2 linked regions of the Oryzias latipes genome follow. The protein of the gene in region 2 purifies or fractionates together with the protein of the main gene of each other region. This does not show direct contact. Links are inferred from orthologs where the notes say so. Each region holds a gene or a part of one and is shown on either strand. Other genes may lie near its edges. The genes, in order: protein POLR1D and polr3k.

Evidence for each region.
Region 1: the proteins of polr3k (region 2) and protein POLR1D purify together in Homo sapiens (affinity purification with mass spectrometry; 3 studies listed by BioGRID and IntAct, with this or other methods). This does not show direct contact. The link is inferred for Oryzias latipes from reciprocal best matches to the Homo sapiens genes POLR3K and POLR1D.

Annotation. Positions count from the first base shown.
Region 1 is NC_019878.2:17,471,474-17,483,220, forward strand, and holds protein POLR1D, read right to left. Parts: upstream 6,782-11,747; 5' UTR 6,724-6,781; exon of another isoform or gene 6,663-6,723; 5' UTR 6,643-6,662; coding exon 6,617-6,642; intron 6,168-6,616; coding exon 6,093-6,167; intron 4,708-6,092; coding exon 4,368-4,707; 3' UTR 3,878-4,367; downstream 1-3,877. Other genes in the region: pdx1 (pancreas/duodenum homeobox protein 1), read right to left, coding at 116-501, 1,998-2,400; lnx2 (ligand of Numb protein X 2), read left to right, coding at 9,603-10,006.
Region 2 is NC_019866.2:8,133,953-8,144,696, reverse strand, and holds polr3k (DNA-directed RNA polymerase III subunit RPC10), read right to left. Parts: upstream 4,664-10,744; 5' UTR 4,558-4,663; coding exon 4,447-4,557; intron 4,352-4,446; coding exon 4,264-4,351; intron 3,728-4,263; coding exon 3,600-3,727; 3' UTR 3,488-3,599; downstream 1-3,487. Other genes in the region: cdip1 (cell death-inducing p53-target protein 1), read left to right, coding at 758-1,034, 2,059-2,170; snrnp25 (U11/U12 small nuclear ribonucleoprotein 25 kDa protein), read left to right, coding at 5,032-5,244, 5,864-5,954, 6,607-6,712, 6,790-6,864, 6,960-7,017; lipopolysaccharide-induced tumor necrosis factor-alpha factor homolog, read left to right, coding at 9,941-10,082, 10,170-10,304, 10,376-10,474, 10,671-10,744. UniProt on the Homo sapiens protein: Core component of RNA polymerase III (Pol III) which synthesizes small non-coding RNAs using the four ribonucleoside triphosphates as substrates. Can mediate Pol I proofreading of the nascent RNA transcript.

The sequences.
Region 1 (11,747 bases), on a different chromosome or scaffold from region 2:
AGAAATGACAGACTCCAACAGGAACTTTGGTCCAGCAAAAAATCGAAGGCATATGCACTAGGTTGTAACTCGAGAGGTTTGTGGTTCTCTGAAGGTTTCACTATTCAGAAAAGGTCTATGCTGGTTCTCTTGTCACAGACGCCGAGAAAGTGCAACCATGAAGCGGGGAAACTGGGGGTGTGGAAGTGTGAGATCCGTTCGTGGAGGACACTCCACCTGCAGTCTCTCCCTGGTCTCCAGAGGTGATGGAGGAGTCTTGATCCGGATCGCCTCCCCTCGCCCTCCTCCGGTCCTCCTCCTTCTTCCACTTCATGCGCCGGTTCTGAAACCAGATCTTGATGTGACGCTCGGTGAGGCTCAGGGTCAGCGCCAGCTCGACGCGCCGCGGCCTGGAGATGTAGCGGTTGAACAGAAACTCCTTCTCGAGCTCCAGCAGCTGTGCGCGCGTGTACGCAGTCCTGGTGCGCTTGTTCTCCTCGGTTTCCGCCATCACGTATGGCCCTTAAACCACAACAATAGGCTTATTAAAACAACAACAAATGTTTCCAAATTGTTTGGGACACACATGTAATCTCAGTGAAATAAAATAACCTTACAGCATTTCTTTTGAGGTTTTATGCAAAGCACAAACTATTAAACTTCAAAAAATCCTTACACGGTAAAATAGCCATGTTTTACAGTGTAACTGTTTACAGTTTTAACCAAGTTGAGTTGTTTTAACCAAACTCCAAGGTTGAAAGAGGACTAACTTTTTTCTTGGTTACTTTGAAAAAGAAAAAAATAAATAGGGCTGAAATGAAAACCAAAAAAAGTAGTAAGGCTTTGTCCCAAAAAGTAACAGAAAAATATAACCCAACACATGAAAAAAAAACACGTGTTTTTAGAGTGTATGGACAGTAAATGGACATATCCCATAATGCATCTCTTTTTTAGTCATGTTAGAAAATAACCCACTATCGTTTAATGAAATGTACTTTTGAATATTTTTTTCTTTATTCATTTATACCAATGCAAATAATGAAAACATGTTTATTTTCTATATAATTACATTTTTGGAAATTTCAAAATTTAGTTAGTTTTTTCTGATTTCCAGATCAAAAGAAGAGTCTCTTTATCTCTATTACGGGACAGAATGGCGCTGGTCCATATATATATAAATACACACAATAAATCTGACACATATATAATCCTATCAGTCATAAAGCATTCTTTATGTCTTTCCTGTTCAGAATCAATCCACTCACAAAAACTGAACGCACGTGCCCTACAAAGTGGACTCAATCACGGCTCATTTTTCTGTGCGTCACAAAAACGTTTATTTTTCATGCATTCAATATCTAAAAGAAAATTAATATAAATTTGGATGTTATTTGTAATATTTACTAAAGAAATAAGCATAATTTACAATTAATTTTTATTTTGAAATATAACTTTGCAGGCATCTTGTGTTGAGGAATCATCCTATTTATGTCTCATTGCTTTTGATTGCTCATCATTTCCAGAATTTATCTTAGAAAATGAACCAAAAAGTTCTGATTAATCACAGATGACGCAATCAAATGCCTATTGATCATTCAAAATCTTCCAATAAGATATACCCAAAATAATGAATTAATGCACAAATTTCTGTTTTTGGAATGTATAATTATTACAGTTTTACTAATCGAGCTGCTAAAAATGTCCTTTTTACAAATCAATCAAATGTCCCTGACTTGTTGATGTGAGAGAATAATTGCGCCTTGCTTTGCTTGACTTGGAATAAGGTCAAACTTCATTTTCACATGAAAAAAACAACACATTTTCCTAATAAAAGACCTCAGAAAGTGTCTTCCGGGCCTTTGACAGGCTGACAAAAGCCCAGAATTACATTGATGGGCTCCAAATGTGAGGATAACACACAAAAAATTAAAGAACTGACTTGAAAACCACATTTTAAGGGTTTTATTTACCAGATTGCATAAAATCCCCTCTTCTCTGACTTTTAAGGACGTCTTTACCTGCCCACTGTCCCTTCCAGGTGTGTGAGTGAGATTTGGTGGTTTTCATCCAGGGGAAAGGCAGCTGATACGCGCTCTGCTCCACCGTGTCTCCATATCCCAGAGCTTGGAGCGGTGGCTGCTGCAGTTCCTGCTGGTGGTGGAGCTGAGGCACACCTGGATCCTCCCGCATGCTGGGTAAACCGTAAATCGGTGCCGAGTCAGGTAAGCTGGCCTGCTCCAAGGCTCCCAGTGTTGGTGGAGTGTAGACGGAATGGGCCTGCCTGCTCATGTAGAGGCACGGCGGTGGGCTGTACTCATCACACTGCGACCTCTGGTAAGCGCAGGGGTCTTTGAACACCTGAGAGGGGTAGTAATGATCTTCCCGGTTCATGGCTGGAGGACACCCGAAGCTGCGGGGCATTCAGCGCACCTGCGCGTCCGTGTGGACCTTCGGCTCTACCTGCTTGTGGCGCAACTGCGAGGCCCCGTCTGCTGCCTGCAGGTGTGTCGCTCTGTCACCATGTGACTCTGCGGCGCCCAGGCCATTGGTTTCATTATTTGCTCAGGACGGCAGACCAAGGCGCCGAGTTACTAGGATATTCTCCAGCTTGTGGGCTTTTCGTCCCTCGGTAAATTTAACAGGACGACTTTCGGCGCATAAATCAATGCCACTCTGTAAATAACGCTGCGTTTAGCCGCATGGCTCCCACATGCGTGAGTCTCGACTCAAATGTACAGTTTAAACTCTGCTTCGTCATGAAAAGACAAAATGATCATGCGCACCACTTTACATGGCTCTTCATTCATAGTTTTCAATCGATATTTCATTTGGATGTGTCTCCTGTTTGCGCGCTGCGCCTAATAAATCGATGCATATGAGCGCAAACATTGCTTGACCTCTCAGATAAGAGAACGGAGAAACAGTCGTCTTGGAAACTCGATGTCTTCCACTGCATTTATTTTATTTTATTATTTTTGGGGGTCTGTCGTCTGAAAACCTATCCATTACACTTTCAGAAATGCATCATTTAACTCAAATTTGCGCGCCTTGGGGCGGTCACCGCGCGAAGGGCCCTTAGCAACAACGAACAGCCTCTCCCGCTGTACTCTCCATGTTTGCTGGCCATTAGCCTCTGGCGGTCGTGAGTGTCCGCCCCATTAAACAACAGCTCTCCTAGTGTGTCAATTAAGTTGGAGAGCGTGACTGAACTCAATTAAACGACGTGGAGCGCGCATCCCCCAGAGCGCACCTGGAACTTTACGCAACACTTTGAGACGTATACAATTTCTCCTAATCCAAGCGTAGGAAGGCCCTGAGCTTAGCTACAGCTGAACATTATCAACTATTTGCTTTTTGGATCCTCAAAAGCAATGATGGCGCTTTTCATGGTATCCTAATGCAGCACTCAGCAATGCAATAAAGTTCAAGCAAACCAATTCTGCGCTAAAGAGTCGCCTGATATGGCTTAATGGTATTTGATCATTGTTGCAAAGAGGAAGGAAACAGTTAACCAGGACTAGACTCTACTACAGTGGAGATGGACTGCGTGATTTATGAAGCATGACTATGAAATGTTTTTAGAGAACTTATAGACCTTTTTGTGAGCAGAGGGAGAAATGGTCTAACTGGTTGTAATCGAGGCGTTAAAAAAAAAAAGCTTTGAGAACAATAAAACCTGAAAATGACTCAAAAACAAGAGCTATAGTGAAGTTACAACATCACCTTCGGCTAAAGTAGATGTCCAGGAAGATGGAATTCTCATCTTTTCTTTTTATTCATAGCTATAACAGTCGTACTGTGTCTTCACGGGGACTGGGAGTGTAAGGAAACCACTTTTCTCCTTTGAAAAACAAGAGCGGTTCTGATAGCTGCTGTGCACATTTCAAAACATTAGACAGGATATAAAATTTGTTTACTCTTTGGCGACAGCAGCATGGCTTATATAAACACCAGTGGTGGATAACCACAAAAGAATGGTTAATGACATTATAATGGAGCTACAGCCACCTTTACAAAGTGGAACATGATAAAACAAATATTAGCTTTGATATGATTTTTAGATTATATCCTAAAAAGTATATTTGATGTTTCGTTCTGGTGCATAAAGATTCATGTTAGAACTGTAAGAGGATCAATTATTCATGCCTGAAAACACAAAATATTTATTTCCTTTTACTCTCTTCATTCATTCATTCAAAAGCTGTAATACAAATTGTATATTCTGTCACTGTACAATTCGTTGTGATCAGCAGAGGTCCTTCTAGTCTGTCTGGGTCTCTGTGAGGGTGAGAGGGCTCTACAGAACTATTTCAAGTCAGCCATACTCCTCCAGCCAATTAATTTTTCAGTAGAGCATCAAGGCTACCTTTAAAACACAGCAAGTTCATTCATGAAGAACTTCTTTTTCTGTCTCCGTTTGGTCCATCGGCATGCTTCCTGTCTCTGCTGTTGTCCCCGTGTCTGTCAGATTTGTTCTTATCTTTGTCCAGTTCCTTATCTCGGTTTGAACGGGTGTGATGTTTATGGTCTTTGTGGCGTCCATTACTCCTGTGGTCTGTCGGAGGTGTTCTGCTGCGGTCACACCGTCTGTCACGGGACTTGTGGGTCAGGCGGTCTCTTGTTTTGGAGTCTGCGGTTCTCTGCTCATCGTTTCGCCGCTGCAGGCCGGTAGAGCGCAGAGTGTTGAGGAGAAAGCGTTTGTTGGTGCTCTGCAGGGGACATTTCAACCTGACAGAGAAGAAGACAACACAACCACTTAAAAATTCAGAATTAAGGTTTTTTTTTTAATCTAAAGTCTAATGTGAAAAGCGACAGTTATCTGATCAGTATATCTGACAGATGTATAGTCGTTTCCATTAAAGGACAAATTGTCTCCAGAGTACAATTTAAATTATAGGACAACTATTAAGGGCATGACTTTGCTTTAAGTTGGGAGTTAGATGCTCACCTTACTGCTTTTTGTATAATTTCACTTTTTGTTAGGTTCCCACATGAAAATAAAACATTATGGTATTGTGCTGTTTTTCCATGTTTTCTAACACTTAAAAATACTGGGTCATTCTTTAATTTACTACTAAATAGTGTGATAAGAGGTGCAAGTTTTCTGGAAATTACATAAACCAACTTTTTTTTAATATTCTGTAGTTTTTTTGGACCAGACCTAAAAAACAAAATAACATAAACCTCTTCATTAGAAACCCACAAAAAAGAATAAAGTCCTTCTAAATTTGTTTAAGATCTGTTAAACATACACAAATAAATCTTATCATTTCAAGAGACTCAATGAAGGGAGATCCAAAGAGAAACCCATTAACCATCAAACAGATCAAATACACAAAAAGTGAATAGGTCAATAAATAATTTCATGCAAAAGAAATCATTGTGCAACAATATACTTGCAAACATTTGTCGATCTAATTAATACAGATCAGTCAACAAATATTGGTTACCAAGATAAATCTATGATTGTAAATGCGACACAGTGTGAAAAAACTCAAACTGTAATTGTTACACAAAAGACAAGCCTTGCAGACTTCAGAGAACGTTGTCATGTAAATGTTTGGGATAGACAAAAAAATGTGAAAAGTTTAAGTTAGGTAACATTATAATTATGGACAGTCTTTTAAAAAAAAATTTTATTTGCCTTTTGTCCCCTCCTTTCAAGTGACTTTTGTAACTGCATTAAATGACGAGTGAATGACAGCTTCAGAACATTAGCTTTGACCTCTCACATCTGAAATAAATCAAGAAGAAAAAAATAGTTTTGATAAATCAGCGTCAGCCCAGAAAATAAAAATGTCTGAAAGCATATTTTCAATTCCAGGAAAGTTCACAGGGTTATACCGTTTTTTTTAGACATAGAATCACTACAGACACACAATCAATAAATAAATATTAATAATAAATTTAGTCTATATGTGTGTGCTTTTAGATGCCAAGAGAGACAAGTGTCTTTGGGAACCTGACGAATTATCTATAATAGAAAACTAGTTAAACACAAATACAACAATAATAGAAGCCTCCAAAAAAAACAGCTAAACCTATGAAGTAAGATTTTACATGGCGTTTTATGTGGAGGCTGTCAGGGATGACATTTCAGAACCATAACTCACCATCCTGCAGGGCCCATGGTCTCAGCTCTCACCCTGGCTCTGTCTGTCTCCTTGAGGAGTTCCTCTATAGCCCGTCTGGAGGAAAAGACGTAGAAAAATGCGGATAACAACAGAAGACCAAGATGACATAAAAGCTCAAGGGGAGACTAATATAATTATGTGCGAGCGAGGAAGAAAATAGGAGACGCGGAGGAAGTGAATCATAAGTAATTGGGACATCAGCGGTGTCCCCGTTTAACCCGACCAGCTGAGGCATTAGTCTCGCAGGGGGCTCTCTCTGATTCAGCCGATCTTATAGCACGTAGTGAGAACAGCTGTTGATTGCCAAAAGGCAGAGTGTGTTGACTGCTACACAAGATACACTCCGTCCCCTAACCAAAATAACCCCATAGCTACAGAAATGCATTATGCAAACATGCTAGCCTAATCTGGTGGTACCAGACACCATTCCCCCGATGTATTAGTTTAACCGAGCAAACGTAAACAAGTTAATCGATGATAATCTAAAAATAAAAAATACTTACTTTTCCAATTCATTATCTTCAGCCATTATGCCTGACCACCTAAAGACTTTAAAACGCAGAATTATTTCAGGAAATTTCTACAGGCTCATGTTAGGGGATTTATTTACCTCTGCGAGGTCCTTCTTTCGAGGACCTGATTTTATGACCAAAAGATGCCTGATCATTTCATTGTTTTATATTGTTAAACCATAACATTTTTTTTTAAATAAATAATGCATTTTTGTAAAATTCACGCCGTTTTTAGAACCCAAACATTTATTCTAAAGTAATTTAGTTACTAAAATAATAGTTGTAATTGTCACATTGAAAAACAAAAAATATTCCATGCCCTGTATGATCCCGAAGCTTTATCCGTTTATGTTATTACCTCTAACATATCGGAATCATAAACATATTAAAAGATTTTAATTCCCGCTGAATGGACGTTTTTGGGCAGGCGACATTGAAGCCACCTCTACTTTTTTTTTCTTTTTTTTGTGGATTGACAGCGGCAAACTCCGCCCAGTCTCTTTGACGGACAGCAGTGGGCGGGACCAGGCACCAAAGTGACGGGGGCGTTTTCGTGCAGGTTTGCGGAACGGGCCGTCCGTTGCGGCGACTGCGTGACTGAGGTCCCGCAGCTGCTAATTGTCCCGCCACCCCCGCCCCTCTTCGAGGCCCGGGCGCGGCGCAGAGGAGCAGCCTGAAGAGGTAACATCACATCTGCATCCTTTCACTGTAAGCGGCGTCAGTGTGTGTGATGCTGGCTTTTTCTGTTATTACCATTGTCGCCTCTTCTGTCCTCCCTTTTCGCTCCTAGGGGGGGTTGGACTCAGACAGTGAACGGGGGGTTTGAGAGATGGGGGGAGGGCTTATCTAAACATTGATGGTATCAAAAATATATATATATATATATTTTAGTAATTGCTTTGCAGATGGGGCGTTATTAAGGTAAATGCAGAAAATTGACAATAATAATTGAAAATGTAATTTACAGCAGGCTCAGTTTTTGTATTATTACTAATGCATGCAAAAAATAAATATATAATAATGTTCACATCAGTTCTCGTGCTGTCTTTGTGTGTTTAGTATTTGTAGGATGAAAGACATCCAAATGAGGTTTTTGTAAAATATCTGATACCTGGGTGCCTGATACACCTGAGTTTTTAAATGAGTGCCATAGAGTCTTTTGATCTTCTAAAAAGGAAACTCCTGCATGCCGCTGCCTAGTTCTCCCAAGATTAGATAGTAATCTGTGGGAAAATGAGAGCAAGTGCAGGACCGGTATCCTAATATAAAAAGATGAGCAAGTACAGCTTTGAACTCAGACAAGAAGGATTAAGAACGTGTCACACGCATCTGCAAGCCTTCACTTATTAAAAAAAATCAGCCCAGCGTGGCTTTTGTCTAAAATAGATTGTTTTTCAACTGCTTCCTGACTCAAAAATGCATTTACTGTTAAAACCGGAAGGCGTTATTTATTGATGAGGAGATTTCAGGGGCTTCTGCCTAAAAAAAGCCCTTGTGTGTTTCTGTTTGCTCTTGCTTGTGCATGTCTACAAGTCTGTGTGTGATGTGGTGATGTCACAGCTTTGTTACAGAGACAGAGAAGCCTTGTGTCCTCATGTTAAATTCATGTCCAGCTGCAGGATAGGGACAGAAGCAGCCAGTCAGACACAGACAGGAGCACGCACTTGAAGGAGGCAGAAATCTGTGACTACCGGCCTGGTAGCTAAGGAGACAGAGGAGACAGGTTGCATCAGAACTGGATAACTACACAGATGAGATTGAAAAAAAGAAAAACACAAAAAAGGGGGGAAAAAATCAACAAATTGGACTCATATATCATTGTCTGACAAGCTTTCAGCTTCTGCTGTGGAGGAGCACAGAGTCCTGCTGGGAGAAGTGCATCTGTTGTGCACCTCCTCTGCATCCTTTTCTGGCTACACTGTGAATGTCAAACCACACTGAACAGAACAGGATCCAGGTCGTCATGGAGACAGGAGCAGACCCTTGCTGGAACAGAGGCAGGTAGTCACTGTGGCTTGGCTGGCCCGCTGTGGGGAGAGGCACGCCCTCTGCTGTCCGCTAACAGCATCAGTTCCAGAGGGGCGAATGATGCTGATGAAGATCTGAAAGGCGTTGGATGTGAAACTCTGTGGAAACAATAAGCAAACACATTACACCACATTAACTCTGAAGACACGCTCTGCTTGCTGGAGTGCTATTTTTCACAATTTTGCTTTAGGCATGTTCCGTTTCTGTTGCAGAGGAGGGCAGCATCCTCCACACGTGGCCAAAAATATCAAGGGTTTAAAGGTTTCACAGTATTTTTTGGACTATTTAAATTACATTCCTGTCCCAGATTTTATCTCTCTCATTTTTTTTCAAATGTATCTTCTCTTTCTTTATTCCTGCTCTACTTTGTGTTTTTTTTCTGCATCAGGTCCAAATCTTTCTCCCTTGCATCTTATTCTACTTTTTTCTTCTCCCTCTTCTTTCCTGTCTGTGGCTTCTCCTATCCCACTTTCTCTCATCTGTATCCTCTCCCTACATCAATCCCAGATAATTCCCTCTCTGCGGAATTGGAAGATTGGAGTAGGCGAGAGTAAAAGAGAGATTATACTGTCAGATTAGCAGACAGGAGCAGCAATACATAATCTCAGCACAGTCACTGACATCCACATGGCACAGCCACAGTACTATAAACACACATTGCTGCCATCGGTGTCATGCAAACCCATGGGCACACGTGCATGAAGCATTTGCCAAATGATTGCGTGCACGACCACAGAAGACACTTGTTTTGATTTTTCTGAAACATCTGTTAAACTATTGCACTGTGCCCTCTGACCTCCAGGGAGATGCGTTATCAGCCACTGGGGGGCTTTGTCCTCTGCAACCTGTTCAGCCCGTGAAGCTTATGGGATAGAGAAGTGCGTAACCCTTGCCCTCCACACAACTGGAGTCATTTGTGCCAAAATCTGAGCTGTGCTGAAGGAGAAAAATGGGCAGCCCAGGCTGCGAGGTGGACGTCACACGGCCAACGGAGCCAACTCCCGAGACTCTTTGTCCAGAGTGTGGTCAGATCCACCGAACCTGGGAAAACCATCTCTACAACTACCGGCTGGAGGTGGACGACGACCTGGTGTGCCACATCTGCCTGCAACCGCTGGTGCAGCCTCTGGACACGCCGTGCGGGCACACCTTCTGCGCCCGCTGCCTGCGCAGCTTCCTCCAGGAGAGGGACTTCTGCCCTCTTGACAGGACGCGGCTGCAGCTGCAGGCGTGCCGCAGATCCAGCATCCTGGTGCACAAGCTGCTAGACAAGCTCTCCGTTTCCTGCCCTTTGAGTCCTGTCTGCTCGCTCAGCATGCCCCGCTGTGACCTGGAGGCACATCTCAAACACAGGTAAAAAAAAAAAAAAAAGTATGCGCACAGAGAACAGATCTGTAAATAAGTTAACACCATACATGCTAGGGCTTAATCTCCCTTGCCAATCCTATTTTGATCTATTTCAAAAGCATTCCTGGTGGTCGTGTAATTATGATTATGCTGTTATTAGCCAAAATCAAAACCTGTGTCGTTTTCTAGGACCTAATTTCTGCAGAGTGGCAGTAGTTCATCAAAAATTTGCCTCTGAGTTGTGGACGGGACCGTTGGTGCGGACTAAGCCTGCCCCTACTTCCCATCATCCATCTGTTTACACGTTCTCTAGTCGTCTATTAGCGGATGCACTAGGATGGAGTGGCGTGCTGTAGTAGCCTCTGCATGACACCTGTACAAGCTTTTTCCAACTGCCTTTTTGCTTCTGCTCCTGATTTATAACAATTTGAATAAAGAAACACTCAGAAATGCAATTTTAGTCTTATTTCTTTTATATAAGTCTTGCAGTCAGAAAAATCCAGCAAAAACACCAAAAATTAATTTAATCAGTGTGTCTTTAACGACTGTACTTGCTTTAAAGAGTTTCTGCAGCTTTACATCTGATGCCATAAACATCTGCAAACCAGTTAATTCATTTTGTGCATAAATCCCAAATTTATTTAGAAATAAATACACTTATACACTGTTGTTCATCTTTGACGGCCCCCCCTCACTTGTTCACACGTTCTGGCTTTTGGCCCATTTGGACCAGGTGCTGTGAGACCATAGGGGATTATTAAACTGTGGGTCATGTGACCGGATTAAAGGCTCCCTGCTGCAGTCATGAGTTGGCTGACCAGGAGCTTCATGTTCTCATTCCACCATCATGCTGGGCAACTTCAACACCAGAGATCTTTTCAACCACTTCTTCTGTGAGACAGCCAAGGGCAACCCTGGCTTGTGGTGAGTGAGGTTGGGTGTGTAGATGTTAGCAGGATCGGCTTCTTCTTTGTTAAGTTCCCTGCTCTCCGGCGTGTGTGTACATTAAGCGTGCCATGAGAAGCAGAGGTCAACCTGTGGGTAGAAGTTGTGTAAATCCTGCAGCTGAGTTTAAATCAGAGCAAACTTCAGGCACAGGATGTTTGTTTTTATTTTTACAATCAATGGTACAGAACTGGGACCAGGTTTCAGGTGGAGTCTGTTGCTTTGACCATCTGTGTTTTGTCGGCTTTTCAGCGTACCACCTAACTCCTCACTTAAGAGGGGGATGATTCCTTTAATAAGCTTAGCTTGCTATCCATGCTGATATCATTCGATGCTTCTCTTTTAGGGCTTTTTCTTTGATCTGTTTGCATTAAAAGTCTTGGGGGGGGGAAGCTGCACTGCTTTTGCTCTATAAATGTGATTAGCTCTAATTAGGAAACTGGCACATGAAAGTGAGAAAAAAAGTATTAAATAATTCACCAACAAGTAAAATAATAAGGTTTAGCAAAGGTTGCATAGTTCGTCGTGTGTTGAGAAGACAAGGACATGACGTAGGATAGATCAACTACAGTCACGGCAAGGACTAAGATGATGCTCTTTGGAAAAGATTAAAAACCTTGAGACCGCCTGGGTTCTCCACCCCTGCAGGTTTAAGGCACCACCAGGAGCCAGGCGTCTGCTGTCCCTGTGTGACATTGTCAGTCCACAATGTTAATACCAAAGATTAAAGACTGAGTTTTAGATTAAAAAACGGACGTTCTACGATAAGGTCAATGCGGACCTCCTTGTTATTGCTCGTGTT
Region 2 (10,744 bases):
TGTAAAGCGTATTGTATTGGGTAGGAAGGATTTCCAGTATCGGACAGTGTTGGAGCGGAGCTGTCTGCGCCTCTTAAAGAAGGAGCTCCGCTGTTTGTCCAGAACAGGGTGGAGAGGATGGTCTGGGCTGTCCATAATGGATAAAAGCTCCTCTCCACCACTGCTTCAAATGTTTCATGTTTGCAGCCAATGACAGAACCCTTGATTGTTCTACCATCAATTTCAAATGAAATATTTATAGTTGTACTTCTATTGCTAAATCTCATGAAATATGATTTTTCAGCTTGGCATTGGGCCGTCATATTTATCTGATCTGATTTTAAAGTTTGAGCCCTTGCCGAGCCTGAGCTCCTCAGGTACAGGTCTGTTAGTTATTCCAAAGGTTTTAAGTTAAAACATATGAGGAAGCCTCATTCAGTCATTATGGAACTGTAGAAAAGCCACCCAGAGATCCACAGAGACTGTTTATGTTTTTAAAGGAAGGCTCAAGAACTACCTTTTGATTCTGGCTTTGAGTTAAAATTTAGAAAAATTCTTAATTGATGTTATTTGATATTCTTATCGTCTGTTTTTACTCATTTGATTCAATCTTTTTTATTCACTTTTACTGATTTTATATCTGTTCATTGTGCTCCATCCTTGTAGTCAAGTTTATTGCAGGACTTAAATCAAAGTTGTGTTTTTGTGTGGTCTCTATAAAGTTGTTCCGTTGACACAGTTTCAGTTTTTATTACACCTCTGGATTCATTCTTTACAGGTGGCCCCTACCCACTGCCTCCCGGGCACTTCGCTAGCCCAATACCAGGTCAGATGGGTCCAGGCCCCGGCCACTTTGTGCACATGGGAGGACAAACAACAACAGTCCTGGGTCCACCAGGTGCAGCCACCACCGTGACGGTACTGCAGGGGGAAATGTTCCAGACCTCGCCGGTGCAGACTGTGTGTCCACACTGCCAACAAGCAATCGTCACCCGCATTTCCCACGACGTTGGCCTCATGAACACACTCTTCTGCCTATTCTGCTTCTTTGTAGGGTGAGTGTACTGTGGAGCTTGTAAACTGCACTTGTTTGGAACGAGTAATCGTTGTAAACGGCAGATACAAATTGGTCAAAAAGGTGACGAAACGGAACTTTTCCTCTGATGAGGAAAACCAAAGGAGCATCAAAGTTTAAACAGCTTTATCATTAATTCAAGTGCTAATTATTTTTATTCAGTTGAAAGCGTCACATTTAAGGCCTATTCACAATGATAAAGTAGTGTTAAATACAAATTATAGTGTAAATATTCTGGTTTTGTTCTTGATTTTATTTACATATAGCACATGTAGTGCCATGTAATACATGTAGTATTTTATGAGACAATTTTTGGATCAAATTAAAGGATTATTGAATGATAAAGGAAACTTCTAAGCTTGATTATTAGTAAAAAAAAAAAAAGTATGTGAACCAGACAGTTCATCAATATAAAGGAAATGAACATAGATTGCAATTAAAATCCATGTTAGTAAAAAAAAAAGAATTTAAAGAATTCTGTATACATTGTATGATTACAAGTAAAATTTAACATCAAAATGTTTTTTAAATACATTTCAAGTTAGAAATGTCCATATGTAAGGTTTTTGTAAATTGTGGAGCCTTGGCTTGCAATAAGGCCAGGGAAGTAAAGTTCAAGAAGTGGATAAAAATAAATCAGATTTTTTTTAAAGATGTTTTGTCTTACATTTTTATTGTTGCAGTCAAAATCTGAAAGCAGGAAGTCGGTGTCTCTTTAAACCACGTTTTAATGAATGTGTCTCATGGCTCTTAGCTACCTAAAGTGTGTCATTTAGCCTTTTAAAAGTATATTTTGCATTAATTCTTTGTCCTAGACATTTGAACAGATTTTTGAATATAGAAAATGTCATCTTATTTTAGTTTAAATTCACATTCTTGTTGAGGGACTTTGTTGTTTACTTGGAAGCTTAATGTGCTCAGAGTTCATTTTCTGTTCCTGCCAGCCCCTGGCGTCCACAGGTCTGAGTCTAAATATGCATAACCGTCCCGTTCCGCATTCGCAGGTGTGACCTGGGCTGCTGCCTGATTCCCTGCCTGATTGATGACCTGAAGGACGTGACGCACACCTGTCCTTACTGTAAGGGCTACATCTACACATACAAGCGTATATGCTAACCACCAACAGCTGGATGCCACAGAGCCATGTACATGCAAACAGAAACAAACTTGCAGCTCCCCTGGCTGATATTAACAGGCCGACTTTTTTTTTTTTTTTCGCATAGTGTTGTGAAACCCTCTTGTATTGTAATCAGTTTTCTCATTAGCTAATTTGCTGTATATATTTCTTCATATTTTAAATTATTAACATGAAGTTGAATTGTACAGATCCCTGTTACTGCTAAGGATGCATGTGAATAGTAGGACTTTAAAAGCTTGGCAGCCTGGTGTAGAGGAAAGCTGTCCTCATATGTGAAGTTGTCTAATTTTTCGTTTAATCCGTTCAAGCTCAGACGTGTTCTTCCGGATTATGAATATTTGTGCGTAATTTTGTTTTTGACATTTGTAGTTGTCAAATGTGGGAAAACTGTCAATTTAAACTGACACATCTGCTAGAAACTTGATTTTTCTTTGCTCCAATCAGGAGCTGACTTATTGTTTTACTGTTACTCACCAGTTCCTCGTGTCTGTGATCTGCTTTCATTGTAATGTCAACATTTGCACTTTGTTATGTTTTTAGCCTTTTTATTCCTGAAGAAAGGGTTGTCCTGTTTTAATCAATTCCCTGAAAGAAGTGGAATAATTTCAAGCATAGAGGTAATATATAACTGGAGTTAATCAAAACATATTTGATCAGAGATTTTAGTAGTCTTTGTGTGCCGAGGACATGGTTATGTGGAAACACTACATGCCATCTCTGTGATACTGAGATTGTAGAGATTCCTCACTGATTTGAAAGTAGTAAACCGTATTTAAGCTGGAAAGGGATGCAGCCATCATTGCATTGATCACCTAATCTTGACATTTGTCATCTATGACATAAATAAATGCATGTTAGATGAAGCGATAGCCTTGACTGAGCAGTCTTTTCAGATTAAGCTAAAAAAATATCAAAAATACAGTTTTTATTGGATAAACCACTAACAGTGTAAAAGCACTGTTCCGTCACAGCATGTCCGATTTCATTTTTCACCAACGCTTTGGAGGTGCAGAATTTGTCTGCATGAGCTACACATCCAAATAAGTGATTCTCTTTGGCTGGCTCCTAGATTTGTATTTTTTTTTCTCTTCCTTACCTTAAGGATGATTGAGTTGCTCTAGAAATTGCATTTTGAGCTCAAGGATTGCATAGAAAATAAACGTGTGGGAACCAGTGGTATGCATTGCTCTCAATGTCTGCAACAAGATACAAACATCTAAGACAATTGAATTGACTGATGTACACAGGTATTATTTTATCAATAAAAGCTCTGAAATAAAGAATTTGTCCGTTGATTGATTCTGAAAAGCAAATTTTATTTATAAATAATAATGGGTCCAAAACATTCTTTACATGTGCTTTGATTGCCATTTAAACTAGAAATAATGAGTGAATGAAATAAAATGCTCAATCTCTCCATCTGTTTCCACACTGAGCATTACAGCATTTGTAGAAAGTCGTCATTGGTTCATCGGCTGATCTGGTCTGGATCTGCATGAAGTAGGCTCGAGGATGCTCGCATTTGGGACACGTTTCTGTGAAAAAACACAAGCAAACATGCATATATGTACACACATGTTCAGAATTTTAGTTAGTTCTCGGATTGAACTTCTTTCTGTGGCCCACATTCAGGTTGGTACTCGCCATAGCATCACACAGCAACACTGCCTCTAGCAAAAAGTAGTCCATTTAAGTGTACTACAAGTATACTTAGAGTGAGGCAGTGTACTTGAAGTTCAGTCTATATATAGTAAACATAAAATGTCACAATTTAGTCAGAATAAGTGTTAAGTTAATGTACTCCCTACACGTTACATGGTCAGCAGTATATGTGCAATACTTGCATCCAAGTACACTTAATAAAATAAACTTCAAGTGTACTTGCAGCTAAGGGTGACTATTAACACCCTTTAAACACGCAAATGGACTGTTTCAAATAAACTTTAATTTATTCCTATGGAGAACATATTTGTCTTAGTAGTCAAATTAGTTTTTCTTGGCCTTTGTTTTATATTATTCTCTAGTCTATCCATGTTTTTTTTTAATTCTTGGTAACAAACTTGTTTGTTACCTGCAGTAGAATCCACGTTCTCCCACGCTGCAGCTCCACCCAGCACATCATCCACCTCTTTCAGCTTGGGATATTTTCGGTAGTTTACCTACAAATATTGAAAAGTTTGAGATTAAAAACCACCCTAAGAAATGTCGTGTTTGTTTCTCGAGTCAGAGTCAGACAGTGATAAAAGGAGCGTACCTTTCTCGTGACGTTGTGCACATAGGGACAAGTGTTACAAGCGAATCTCAAGCATTTCTGTCCTTCTTCTACGATTAAAACGTTTCCACAAGTAGGACAAAAAAGAAGCATATTACCAGATTATTTAAAGAAAAACTATCTCGGGAAAGATAGTAGCGACTACGAAATTCATTAGCAAGGAGAAGCAAAGCGGAAGCAGTTGCTCCGGTTTTACAGCTCGGTAGGAAACAAAAAAAAAAAAAACGTTTGTTAAAAATGAAATTGTTATTGTTAAAGAATGTATATAAATGTATAAATATATGTATAACATTATAAATAATATAATTATTTTAAAACCCCACCATCCGCCGCATGAAAAAAAGTTCTTACTTTTGATAAGCGGAACTATTTATCATGTTTTGATGATACCACCGGTATAAGGTCTGCGACACACAGCATTAAAATTCACACCAGTCTTGGGATACATTTTTGTAAACAGTATCCTATTATTATTATTTTAAGAATCTTTTGTACTTAATTGAACGCGTCAAAAAAGAGAAAGCGGTTTCATTTTTACTGAATGTATTTATTTTTAACCAATAATAGATGATGGAGCAGGAAACCGACGAAGGAGAGAATCGTTTGCAGGACAGTCACAGTCACAGTGAGGTGAAAGAGGAGAAGCTGGCTGATGAGACAGCTCCAGATGCCGAGGAGGAAGATGAGGAGTCTCTTCCACATTCAGAGATCCTTGATATCTTCGAAGAGGGACTTGCTCGACTTGTGCAGGACCCTTTACTGTGTGATCTGCCGATCCAGGTCATAGAAAAACACCACACTCCGCACACCAGGCAGATGTTTAAAGAAAATTTTCATAAATTGTAAATTTAACACTAAAGTTGAAACGCGTCCTTCTTCCGGTTTGTCTGACGGCATATTTGCATAGCAGAAAATAGCTGCATATATATTCTTGAAAAGCCAAATCGAATCCAATTTCAAAACAATCTTATAGCTCTAATTTATGTTTTCTCTCCTTTTTCTTCTTGAAACTGTTTATACGATTTAAGAATTATATACGAATAGCAATGAAATAAATGTTCTAATCTAGAATTAAGTACCAAACATGCATAATAAAAATAACAAAAACACAGGTTATAATCCATAACATTAGTATTGTCAGTATTGCTCTTGTAACATTGGACTATTATACAATAATCACATTTGTTTTTTTTTAATCTCATTTATTATTAAGCCCAGAAAGAAATCTGTTATTTACAACTGGTTTATCTTTCGTATTTGCAAATTTGTCTTTGAGAAAACATGAAATGTCTGCAGTTATAAAGGATTAACCAAGTCCATTTGACTGATTTTTTTTTTTTTTACCCTCTACTGTGTTAGAAGGATGAGAATCCACAATCTGCAATATTTTTGTGTTCAGGTGACTTTGGAAGAAGTAAACTCCCAGATTGCATTGGAGTATGGGCAAGCAATGACTGTGAAGGTTGTTAAGGCAGATGGGGAAATCATGCGTAAGTTCCAAAGTCTCCCAGCTGATTTGTATAATTAGTATGTGTCTATATTGTGTTTGTATGACTATGTCTGTGTTCACTGCCTGACTCATCAGACCTCATAACCTTCTTCTATCGCTCTGGAGTCCAATCTAAATGTTCCCTGACAAACGTTTTTTTTCTGGTTGGCCTTAATGGTCAGTGGGTTTTTTTTTAAGGGTGCACAGCTCTTGTGTCCCGCATTATCCCTCCAGTTTTTCATAATGTGTTGGACAGTTCTTAACCCGTTCGCCCTCTCTGCAGTTTCTTTTGATGTTTAATTTACCGCCAGTGATTTGACCCGTCACCAACAAACTAACATCTCTCCCACAGGATGTGTTTATTGACTTGGTGGTTTAAAAAGAGGGAATCAACTCATTGCATCAGTTGGGATTATAAAACCTGTTACCCGTTGACAGACAATCACCCCATCGCCCAAGCAGACAGTCGCCCATGCAATATTTATCCAATGGGAGGCGCGTCCAAATTTGCATATTTAAATCCAACTTTTAATTTTGGACAGACCATGTATATTTGCATGTGGATTTTTCTTAGCTTTCAAATGATTTTAAATATGTTTTGCACATTTTTTTTACTATACACAGTAGTAACATTTTTTTTTTTTCATATTTAGCTATAGTGGTGGTGCAAAACGCCACAGTTCTTGATCTTAAGAAGGCCATTCGCAGATTCATGGAGCTTAAACAGCAACGAGAAGGTGGAGTGAAACATGTCAGCTGGTAAGAATTTTGGTAAACACGATAACAGAGCAGTTGTGTCCAAATCTTCACTTTGTTTTTCCTCCTTTCTTCTCCAGGAGATATGTTTGGAGGACGTATTATCTGGTATTTCAGGGGGAAAAGCTTGAAGATGACTCAATTAGGCTCAAAGAGTGGGTATCAATGAAGTCTGGTTTATACTGTGTGCAACTGACATAATATTAAAATGTCCTCTGACTCCTGCATTCAAATGCTTATTTGTTTTCAGTTACGGCATTAGAAACAGAGATGAAGTGATGTTTATGAAGAAACTCAGGAAGAAGTGACTCATCCATTTGCCAATTCAGAAGAAAGAAGTTTTCCCAACATAATTAAACTTGTTTTTAAAATAAACCATAACTTTAAGATATATAATACTTGTTTTGAACATCTCTTAAAGTAAAATCTACTTGTAATTACTTGTTTGGAACTGTTTCTTCTTTTAAAAGGCTCAAATGTAAAACCTTTTTTTTTTTTAAATGTTTTGTTTTAAATGGATAGATATGAAATATGTCAATAAATAGCATATCATTTATCTGGGTTTGCATTTTGTCCCTCGAGGATTCAGTGTAAATGTTCACAGTGGGTAATTGTAAACGTAGCTGAACTATTTGAATATTTTGAATAATTAGTTGGAGGAAAGGAACAGTGTTCTGTTGTCCGGCTTCTATCTAATGCTCTATGAGGACGATGAATCAGGTGCAGCAGAACAGGTAAGGCAAAACAAAACTATATTCACGATTATAAGACAGCTTTGTTAACATATTAGTGTGCCAAATGTATCCTAACATGGATTTATTTCAAAACATTTTAAAAATGTAATTTTACCCAACCAAAATAATAGAAACTAAGAAGTTTTTTTTTTTTTTACCAACCATATTCTCTGTGCCCCACATACTTATTAATTTCTTTCAAAATATGTATGTTTTGACCTCTAAGTAATTATCAATCACTTTACTTCTGATTTTTATTCTTAATTTTGGATCACAGATTCTGCAAGTTTTCCACCTAAAGACGAGATAATTTCATCACAGATACACTTCAACTGTTAGAGACAGACTAGAATATAAGAGTGAAGATTTCAGGAAATCACACTGTATGATTTTTAAACATTTTTTAAACATTTGTTTGTATATGAGTATTTGGTCAAAACAAAAGGGTCTAAGGGCAGGAATGCCCAGTTTAGATTAGACTGTTTAGTTTAGTTTAGCATTTTATGACTGATTTTATGTTCTTGTATGAAGCTCTTTGGCACAACTATTGTTGTAATACTGGGCTATATAAATAAAATTTAATAGAAAAGTTACCTTGATCTCAGAGACAGAGGTCAAAGGTCTCCTGTAGGCCTTTATCCGGTTTAGACACAGCATAGCTGCTATTTTGGCCCATTCTTCTGTACAGACCTTCTAAGAGCTGTGATATTTTGAGGGTGTCACTGGGAAACACAAACTTTCAATTCCCTCTCCAGATTATCTATTAGATTGAGATCCGGAAATGGACTAGGTTACTCCAGAACCTTGAAAGGTTTCCTTTTTTTTACGTAGCCACTCCTTTGTTGCCCAGGTGATGTGTCTGGGATCATTGTCGAGTTGAAAATCCAGACACGTTTAATCCCTCTATGATGTCAATAAGGAAACATGTTATTTTTCCCAATATCTCACCATACACGGCCCCATTCATCCTTTTCGTAACCCTTGTGCGATCCTGGGCACTTTAACGTTGGGAGTTGGGTCATCTAGACCCACTAGACAGTGCTCTGAACCTTTTTTCTTCAAGATTTGTGATCTTCTCTGGTGTCCATGGATTACATGAAATCTTTCCACCTTTATCCACCTTTGTCATGGTAGGGAGAACACGTCAATGTAAGGGTGGGGTCATCTAAGATAGCACAAGGGTTAAATATGTGACATTATTACAGGTAACAAGTAGAGAAAAGAAAAGCTTCTCAAAGAAAAATTAACAGGTCTGAAGGAAAGAATTCTTGCTTGTTTGTACCAAAAGTCTCACTTTTTGAACTATTATCCAAATATTTTATTTAAAATCATTTAATGTGATTCCTGGGTTTTATTTTTACACTCTGTCAGAGTTGAAGTGTATCTGTGGTGAACATGAAAAAACTCATGTTTTTGAAAGAAAGAACTTGTGGAATCTGTGACAGACAAATACCTTTTGCCTCACCGGACATTAAAAAATGTCCACCTTTTGTATTTGGGTTTTTTGATACAAAGAACATTCAAAATTGCTCCACAAACAACAATTTAGAATCTGTAAATATCAATAGATGCATTGACAATGGGTAAAAAAAATCCTTTGCTATTAAAGTGTTAAGATTTTCCCTTACAGCATTACTTTATTATAAAATAAATAAAAATACAAAAAAAATATATATGAAAAAGTAAAACAAATGATTAATCACTAATTGAAAATGGTTAAATTGATCGATGTTTAATGATATTACTTCATTTGCTCCAAAAATTCATAAATTGATTCAAAAATCTTTCCTAATGTAACATAATTTTGCACATGTTTTTAACTTTTGATACTTGATGAAATTTTGCTATGAAAATTCCTGAAACAGTGTTGTGTCTATTTTACTGATATAGTATTATGTTTTAATTATATGAATGACTTTTATAAGTAAAATAATCTGCATATATTTTAGATGACTGATCTGCATTTGCCATGTTGATTTCTAAAATAGTTATTTTTACATAATAATTAAGTAATTCATCTTTGTCATGTGCTTTATCGATACCATATGATTTTTAATTCTGTCTGATTAAAAACTAGGAACCGGATATTGATAAATCATGTAATAAAATGGTTATAGTATAATGGAGTATTTTGAGAGTCAAACAGCATTAAAAACTATAATAACGTCTTAAAAATTGGAAAACAAACACAGCGCTCTTGCCTCAGTGTGAAAAGGCCCTGGTTCTGTGCTCTCCATCTTTTCCCACAGTCTAAAAACATGCTTCATAAGTTCAGTGATGTCTCTAAATCAGGCAGGTGTGGTGTGAATGTGAGTGTGTGTGTGGCCTTGCAGCAGGCGGGCGACCTGTTCAGGGTGTACCCCGCTTTGGCCCAACTGTGGCTTCAGCAACCCTGTGACCACAAAACGGATTCAGCAGGTTCAAAAGATGGACAAATGGAAGGAAAACTAACGTCCGTCTGCTTTTCTCTGCCCATCTTTTCCACATAGGTGTCACCATGAATTCCACCAACAGCGAGGCCACTAAAATTTCCATGGAGTTGAAAGATATTTCTTTAAAGATTCAAACACTTCAGGAAAGGAGGAACATTATGTGCATTTTTCAGGAGATAAGGAATCGCACAAACCTTGGCCAAACAGGTGGCTTGAAAGAAACAAATAGCATTTCTTGATGTGATGAAACGTTTTTGTCAAATGTATGACCTCCTCTGCTTTGTGTACTCTCAGAGGAAGCATACGCCAAACTGCAGCAGATCAACATTATTGAAAATGAACTGAAACAACTCAGAGAGAGGCAGGCTGAACTCCAAAAACGATTTAAGAGCACTTCAACTGTCAAATGTGTCAGATTTGACCAGAAGGGTAAGCGGTAAATGTTTGCTTTAATCCTTCATGTTTAAGTCTTGCAAAGACTCCATTTCCTTTTTCTCCAGAGACTGCTGTTCCCCCACCAAGACAGGAGGTAGAGAAGGATGATGATGATGTTCCTGAGAAAAAAGTTGTCTTTGTTGAGGCTCCGCCTTCCTTCCCAGGTGACCCACTTTTGATTTCAATAATAAGCTTTTTGAATTCCTGTCATAAAACCCCCCCCTGAATTTCAGGTTTTCAGAAGCTGTCATAGTTTCTATTGCCTAAATAATAAAAATAATAAAAAAACATCTGAGATACAAAAATAAATGATGAAAACAGAGGAAGGGGAATCATTTCTTGCATGTGTGACCTTTGCAGCTCCTTCTGTGATTCTGGACACGGATAAACTTCCACCTGAGCCCAGCAGGACTCAGTGCCCGCAGTGTCAGCAG